2 linked regions of the Macaca mulatta genome follow. The protein of the gene in region 1 interacts with the protein of each later gene in a pairwise test. Links are inferred from orthologs where the notes say so. Each region holds a gene or a part of one and is shown in the gene's direction. Other genes may lie near its edges.

Region 1 (3,819 bases):
TGGTGGGACGCACTTGTAGTCCCAGCTACTCAAGAGTCTGAGGTGGGAGGATCACCTGAGTCCAGGGAGGTCAAGGCTGCAGTGAGCCGAGATTGCGCCACTGCACTCCAGCCTGGGCAACAGAGTGAGACTCCTTCTCCAAAAAGAAAAGAAAAACTATTAACTTAATTGTATATGAAGTGAGCAATACCTAATCCTGTAGAAAAGTTAAAAGGAATTAACTAGATTTGTATATAGCATGGATGGGTCTCAAAAACATTATACTGAACAAAAAAAAAAGCAAGTTATAGAATAATACCTATAGTAAATTTTTTTGTAATGAAAAGCACACAATGTATTGTTTGTAGATACATGTGTATATAAAAGCATAAAGGATGCCACACTAAATCTCTTGAAAGAGTTTAGTTATATCTGTAATGTTTTACTTTTTAACTTTTTTTAAGAAGACCATGCATATGTGGTGTATATGTGGTATGTATATTTTAAATTATATATACAGGGAAAAGAACTAGATAAAATGCTGACAACTAATTCTGGATGGTGAAAATATGGATGTTTATTATCTGTATTTTTCTGTACTGTATTGTTCTGTACTTTTTAAACTTTGCACACAAAATCACATGGGAGAAAACAATTACAGATTTTCATATCTGTAAACAGAATCCAAATTAATGAATTTGTTGATTGTTGTCATTGTTCTTTTCTCTTGCAAACAAGCAGCCACCATTCTGATGTGTATGAATTAATAGAGAAAATACAGAAGAGAATCATAGAGGAAAAGACCTTAAAGTCACTTGTTCAGCAAAGGAAACTAAGATCCAGAGATTTTAACCAGCTCACCAGCAGTCACTTACCTAGTTATACAGCTAGAGTCCCCAAGTTCCTTACTTTGTATCAAATTATGGTTCCCTATCAAATTAGTTAATCATCTGAATAGAGGGGAAAGTACATAAAGTTTTATGGTTGCAAGCTTCCTGCCTCGCAACAGTATGAAAAAAGGATTCAATAATAGCGTCAATCTCCCCAGTCTGTTTCTGTGTCACTGGAGTGAGAGAGAACTTAAGACATCTGCAAAACTACATCTTTACAAATTTGACATATTTAAGTTTATCCATTGTAAAAGAGCAGAACTAGCAGAATTCTCACAAACAAACTTCTGTGCTGTACAGTGAAATTAAAGGAATTGATTTTTAAAAGCTAAACTCATATAGTTAAGTATTTTATGAGCAAATAGAGATGCAGTGCAGTTTACAATTATTTATAAACTTTTGGGAGGTATTGTCTTTCAAAGAGATCTGTGTAGGGAAAAAGCTCATAGTGTTCATGAGCCAAACTATTCTAAATGCTATTGCATCTTTTATTACATCATTTACACTTTTATCAAGACAGTCTCTTGACTTAACTTGGTGCTTTTTCATTCTTTCTCCAACCACTGCCTTCCTTTTAGAACAAAATGTGCATGTCTTCAATTGACAGCAAGGAATGCCAAAACTTCCCCCTTGTCAAGTGACAAAATAACCACTGGATATAAATATAAAAGACTACAGAGACAGATTCCTACTGGGTAAGGTACCTTGAAGATTTGTTGCAGGGTGTGTATATCTTTGAAGGTGGGTACCTTTTATTGTGGTCTAAAATCATATAGATGTTATATCTAGTTTAATTTGGTTCCAATACCAAAAATCTAAATTATTAAGGAATAAAAATCCTGTATATTGTTCATGGAAATGGTAGTCAGAGACCACACATACATCATGCGGAGTGTACTCGAACACTCATCTGCTTTGAGACTGGCTCTTACCCCTGTAGGATCAGCCTACTTTGGGCAGCCATTTCTCCATTTAAAAATACGCTGTTTAGAACTCATTTGAGAATTGGGAATTTTCAACCTTTCAAGGTACTGACTCACTTTATCTTCACAAAGCAGCTCTATAAGGGAGGTACTGTCATATAATCTCCATTTTAAAAATGCAAAGATAAAGCACAGAGAAGTTAAATAACTCATCCAAGATAATACAGCTAGTAAATGTGGAAGCTGTGATGGGAACCCAGGCACCCTATCTCTAAGAGCTTTCACATTTAGCCTGCTTCCCTCAGTAGTTGTCAGTGCCAGTGAAGTGGCAATAAACTGCTTTTTGCTTTATGAGGTGTCTGTTTTTCTCTTTTGCATATTTTGTTGACAGCATTTATGAATGCAGCCTGTTGTGCAAATGTAATCGACAGTTGTGTCAAAACCGTGTTGTCCAACATGGTCCTCAAGTGAGGCTACAGGTGTTCAAAACTGAGCAGAAGGGATGGGGTGTACGCTGCCTAGATGACATTGACAGAGGGACGTTTGTTTGCATTTATTCAGGTAAAGCAAAGGTTTATTTTAAAATTATTCTAGGGTAGGATCCTCTTTTCTGAATATCCATTTTCCTAGCCAGGGCCGTTGAGAGCTTACAACAAGGTAAAGAGTAACAGTATCTAAAAGGAACATCAGAGAAAGGCAGATGAACTGGGAACTTGAGCACTAAAAAGATGAGATGCTTAGGAGGTACTTTCTTCAAGAAAAGAAAGGTTCAGAGATGACACGGGTTTTTGTGTGAGGGCTTGTTATGTCCAAGGCACATTTGTTTTGTCCGCATGGCTACAGGTACTTTGGGGTAAGGGAAGAAAACTTTTTAAAAGTAAAAAAACTAGATGACTAGCTTGCCAAGGTAAAGATTACCAGTCAAAAACTTTCTTATTCAATGTTTTGAGCTATTATTAGAATTTAACAAGTTAATTATGTAATATCTGCATGTTATAATTCAGTCAGTGACTTTAGGCAACTCACTCTATTTTGGGGACTGCAGAGAGTTGTCCATGCCGCAGAGCAAAACTTCCTGAGCAGTGTGTTACAGTCATGCAATTACTGATTCTTTAGGGCCACAGCCCCCAGGACCAAACACATCAGTCTTCGGTAGTCTTACACATTTACCTCCAGCATGTCAGGCAAAACCCCTTATTTTCTGTGCACATCCTTATGTGAGAAAGTTTGGGAAACACGGCTTTAGAGCCAGTCTAAAGGAATTGTCCTTGACTTAGTTCTAGCAGCTAGGCAGCAGGGAACAGAACAACCAGGTTCTGAAAATTACTCATCTGAAAAAATCAGGTTTATCTGTTTACATGACCAAGTGCTTAAAAAAGAAAAGAAAAGAAATGTCAGGTTCACATCAGGGAGGGCAAGAAAAAGCTTGCAGAGTTATCTGAATTCAGAGTAGTCACACATATGGATCCCTGCCACTCCCCACTTACAGATCCACATTCTACACAGCCTGCCTAGACATTCATCTCTCATACTTCTCAAAATAACTGTTGGATGAAAGCTACCTGTAAAATGCCAAGCAGTGTCCAGGAAGTATCATTGGTTTTATCATTGTTGCTAGAAAATATACCTAAGATATGTCTCTGACCTAATGATGGGTAAGAATATCCTGCTATTAATTTGGACTTGGCAATTATAATATTGAATCCCTTGAAAGAAAATGCATAAACTTTAAGATTTTAGTGTTATGCAGAACTTAATATGACAACACTAGGAACATATCACCACATATTTAAACAGATACTTTTGTTAAAAATTGTAAGTTTCAGATGATAAAGCCTTTTTAACTAGACAAAAGCTACAATTTTATGACTAGAGGTCATCTCTAATTTTCTAGGGTATTTTCTGATCCATATCTTTGTTTTGGATCATTGTAGCTAAATCTCTTCTCTTTTGTATTTTACCAAAACAGACAGATGGTTTTTTTAGATACCCTGTTTTTTCATATACTAGAAGATAAGAAATATCAC
Region 2 (4,528 bases), on another chromosome or scaffold:
AGCTCTGGCTGTGACCAGGCATACTTCCCTGCTTCTATCCAATAAAGCAGGTGTGTACCATTGGCCCAAAGCACTTTCCACCTGTGGGTCTCCTTGCTGACACCTCATCTCTGGTCCTCATAAGTATACCATCAGCAGAGAAGGCTGTTGTGGCAGATAGAATATATGCACATTACTTAACCCATGATTCAGGTGATGGTGTCCTTCCACTTGCTTGCACCTTATCCTAACTGTGTCCACTTACCACAACTCTTCCACCTTTTCACTGGATACTGAAATTAAATAGGCTATATTATTTAATAATCTTAATTCAAGCTGTGAGCCTTCTGTTTCATTACCTTTAGGAGAGCTTGCCTCGTTTACTGGGAAGCCACCATTGCATCAAATTAGTTTCCCACATGACAGTTCCATGCAGGCATTAATCTGCTCCCAGAACACTCCTGCTTTAGCCCTATCATTTTATTCTGTTTATATCCATGTGTTTCTGTTATGACACTTTTCACACCACACTGTGATTAACTGTTTATTCCTCTCTCACTAGTTTGTGAGTTCCTTGGAAGCAGAAATACATTTTATTCTTTTTGTCTAATCATTACTTAACAAAGTGCCAACCACAAAGTAAACAGTAAAAGAATTATAGAATGCAACCTCCTGCAGACACAGTTGAAGAAATTACCCATTGTTTTTTTCCTTTCTGTCGTTCCCTAGTTCTAGGCATCAATCGCCTGCCTAGTCGGGGAGCAGTATGAAAGTGGTGGGAGGACTATAGACTCACTGCAGAAAACAGCTTACAGTAATGCAGTGAATTACTAGCAAGTTTGGACCTTGGTGGAGCTTGTCTTATTTGCCTGTTCACTGGGGGGTTTCAAACAATAGTTTTTGTTTCCCTGCTATCCCGAACTTAAAATAATTAAGCCAAGAATCTTTAAGAGATGTTCTGTTCTCCAAGATTCTAGATAATAAAACCTACTGTAAAAATTAATGAGCACCTATACTGTGACAGACAATAAAGATACAAGAAAAATGCCATTTCTGTTCTGAGAAAATTTACAAGGATTTTCCTGGAGCCTACATTTTACTCGAAGTAATAGCTATTCTTATAGCTTACAATAAAAGATGCATTTTGGAATATATTTCGCTTGAATGAAAGAAATAGAACGTGAGACCTTAAACAACGGGTCCATTCTTCAGATCCTTTTAACACACCCTCCTTCAGAGGTCGGGGTATTTGCGTGCAAAAGTTTACTATCACGCACAGGTGTGGAGATTTACAAATACAATCCAATTTAATGGGAACTGTGTCTTGTAAGAGATGGCCCCCAGGGACCTCCCATATCCCTAACCTCTCGGAGGACTGCAAAACACAGCTTCTGGAGCAACTCTTGCCTCGCCTTGAATCATTTGCCACTTCACTCCGCCCCGCCCCTTCCGTCCCCGGAGGCCGCCAGATTTGTGTCCGCTCTAGGCTTCTCCCGGACGTCTCTTTGTGGTGGCGTTGAGCTCCTCTAGCCCGCGCTTGCCGTCCTCTCAGTGGTAGCGCGGGGACTGGCTGGGAAGCGGGCGGTCGAGTGTGTCGTGTGTGGACGCGGATCCTGCCCGAAGCCGGGCGGAGGAGAGCTGAAGCTAAGGTGGAAGGGGAGCGGGGGAGGCCCTGGGGAGGAGCGGGAGAGTGCAGACGGGCCCCTGAGTGGCGAGGGAGCCCGGCGGCGTCACGGGGGAACCCGGAGAGAGGGGGAAGAGGAGGCCCGCACACGTGAGGGGGATTTCCGCAGTTGGCCGGGGCCTCTCACCCCCAGATCAACCCCTACCCCATAGTTCATCTGCGACGCAACGCCTTGGGCCAAAGCCCAGAACAGGTTCTGCCGCCTCTGACCTCTCCGAGGGTCGTCGCGTGTCCAGTAGGCCCAGGGCCTTCAAAGCTACGATTTTGACTTGAACTACTTAGAATTATATTGTGGCCTTGAACCCTGTAGACAGCCTGTATCTCTGCTATTTTTGTTTTTAATTTTTCAAATCAGAATCTTCTCAACCCTGGCCCTTTGAAGTCAAAGGCTAATGTTTATTTTTCCATCCCGGTACCTTGAACTTAGTAGGTGCCCATTGGACGGGTCTGGTGGTTTTAGTCATTTGTAAATAGCCGTGAACTAAGGACGAAATGTATGTGGCCTCTTACAGGGTTGGGGTGGGAATCATTGCAGGGTTTGGGGACACTCTGTTAGGCATGATGACAAAAGCTGTAGGCTTGAGTTTCTTCATCTGTAAATGAGAATGATAGTACTTTCCTCAGGGTGGCTATGAAGGTTCCTGAGATGATATTTGCCCTAAGCACTGTACCTGGCATGTCGTGACTACCACACTTGAACCAAATGTTTTCAATGATGTTATAGACTATATTTTTGTTTTAAATTAACTTTACCTTTCTTATTGTGCCTAGATCTTGAGGATTGAGACTCTCCTCTTGGCCTTTGGGCTCTTTGATTAATGCCAATTGTCATGTTATAGGTAATCAGTATTTGAAGATGACAGGCACAAAAAGTTCACAGTTGCAAGATGCGTAACTTTTGTAGGTGTCTGTGCCCTTAACTAAAGCTACTGATTTGGGGCGTAGGGGTAGATTAAACTATATTTTTGTTAAATAAGAGATAATCTGGGAAGATGCTTTATAAGTTGCAAGACCCTATGCCAAAAAAAAAAGCCTTTAATTTTTTTCATAAAACATTTCATGAAAGTTTGTTTTCTGTTTTTCGTAAAAGAGACATCAGTTACAAAACGAGGTACATTTTTTGTTTTGTTAAATTTCCTCTAAATCTTACTTTCCCACTAATAAGGAGACTGGTAACAAACTAAAAAACTATGTTAACATGAATTAACATATTGGAACGGGTATTTCTGCATCTCCTCCACAAATTTAGGAAGAAAAAGTGAGTTCCGTGATTAATCCTCAATTCCCTCTGCTGTTGTTTTGGTAGTGGCTGTTTTGCTGTTTTGGTAGTGTCTGTTCTGCTGTTTTGGTAGTGGCTGTTCTGCTGTTTTGGTAGTGGCTGTTCTGCTGTTTTGGTAGTGGCTGTTCTGCTGTTTTGGTAGTGGCTGTTCTGCTGTTTTGGTAGTGTCTGTTCTGCTGTTTTGGTAGTGTCTGTTCTGCTGTTTTGGTAGTGGTGGTGGGGTGTTCTGCATTAACACCTCGAAACCCCTGTGATAATGTCCTAGACCTTGCTTTATTAGGAAGTCTTGCAAGCATCATGGCCACGTATGATTTTTCTCAGCTTCCTCAACCTAGTCTACCTTCCTTACCGTTTTTTAATGGGTAGCAAGAGATAATGCTTAAGAACTCTTTAAAACTACTGATGTTTTAAAGTAAAGCTGGTTAATTCCCTGAGCCGGCAGCGTTCAAATTGTATGAAGAACAAATACTTTTGTTTACTACCTAAGGTAGTAGGAGAGGTCTAATCAATGTATTCTACATTTATTTCATTCTCTTTTGATTCTTAGGTAGTGCTACAAAAATATTAAATGTTAATCTTAGAATCACAAAACATGCTGTATTTAGGCACTAAAGTAAAATGATACCAATCCTAAGGCAGGAGAAAGTCTTAATTTTCTCCTATGCAGAATTTTTAAGACAATGTCAAATAAGAAATCTGGACTTAGGAGAGACTTTATTCAAAAGGGTTATTGCAAGAGGAGAAAAGGGACTTTTGCAATGGGTGGAACCAAAAGATCTGCAAGAGTCTCCAAGGAGTGAACCGTGCTGGAAAGTTTTGGTGTGAGGAAGTAGAATATAAGGGTGGCTTGATCTAATAGTAGATCTGAGAATGTTATTCCCTGGCTCTGGCTGAGAGTTGGCTGAAGTTCAGGAACCTGGGGGAAGGAGAGAAACTAAAGTTTAACAAATATTTTGTTCCACTTGATCTGGAGGGCCACGCAGCTGAGCAAATTATTCATAAATTCGTAATTGAAGCAAAAAATGGGAATTTGGAGGGTCTTTCTCTGGCCTGGTCATAGGTAAACAAGGGGGGATCCTTGAGTCTTACCTAACTCAAGGGTGGATTTTTTAAATTATAGCTAATAAAGAACCAGCGCAGGGCTCAAGCAAAATTCACCTTGTCAAAAAGTGGTTTTATTATTTGACATTGAAAAGTATTGAAAACCTGGATTTTATTTATACCGTGGTGAATCTTTCTAAGACTGGGGTGTTTGTTACTGGTTTGCTTGTTATCCTATAAGAAGCTGGATTTTTTTCTTCTTCCATGAGGAGTACTAGGTTTTATACTGACCAGAGTGATTGAATGGAGCAAATTAATATTTTCTTGCATTAAAAGATTATTAAAATAGGAACTGGTAAGATGCTACAACCAGTTTAAGTGACAGTTAAAAGTAGACATGTTTATAGAGCAGAAATATTGAAATAAATACACAAGTGAAGGCAAAATTGGCTGCTTCCACAGTGAGACAAATTCTATCACTGACCTTCACCAGATAGAATTTACAAGAATACAATTATTTTGCCTTGCTGTTGGTTATCTACAGT

Evidence for each region.
Region 2: the proteins of SETDB2 (region 1) and ARL14EP interact in binary tests that used the Homo sapiens proteins (3 or more experiments, as listed by UniProt). The two-hybrid records come from large-scale screens. The link is inferred for Macaca mulatta from reciprocal best matches to the Homo sapiens genes SETDB2 and ARL14EP.

What each region holds. Positions count from the first base shown.
Region 1 is NC_133422.1:28,716,628-28,720,446, forward strand, and holds part of SETDB2 (histone-lysine N-methyltransferase SETDB2), read left to right. Parts: intron 1-1,447; coding exon 1,448-1,564; intron 1,565-2,183; coding exon 2,184-2,353; intron 2,354-3,819. UniProt on the Homo sapiens protein: Histone methyltransferase involved in left-right axis specification in early development and mitosis. Specifically trimethylates 'Lys-9' of histone H3 (H3K9me3).
Region 2 is NC_133419.1:34,922,386-34,926,913, reverse strand, and holds the start of ARL14EP (ARL14 effector protein), read left to right. Parts: upstream 1-1,576; 5' UTR 1,577-1,628; intron 1,629-4,528.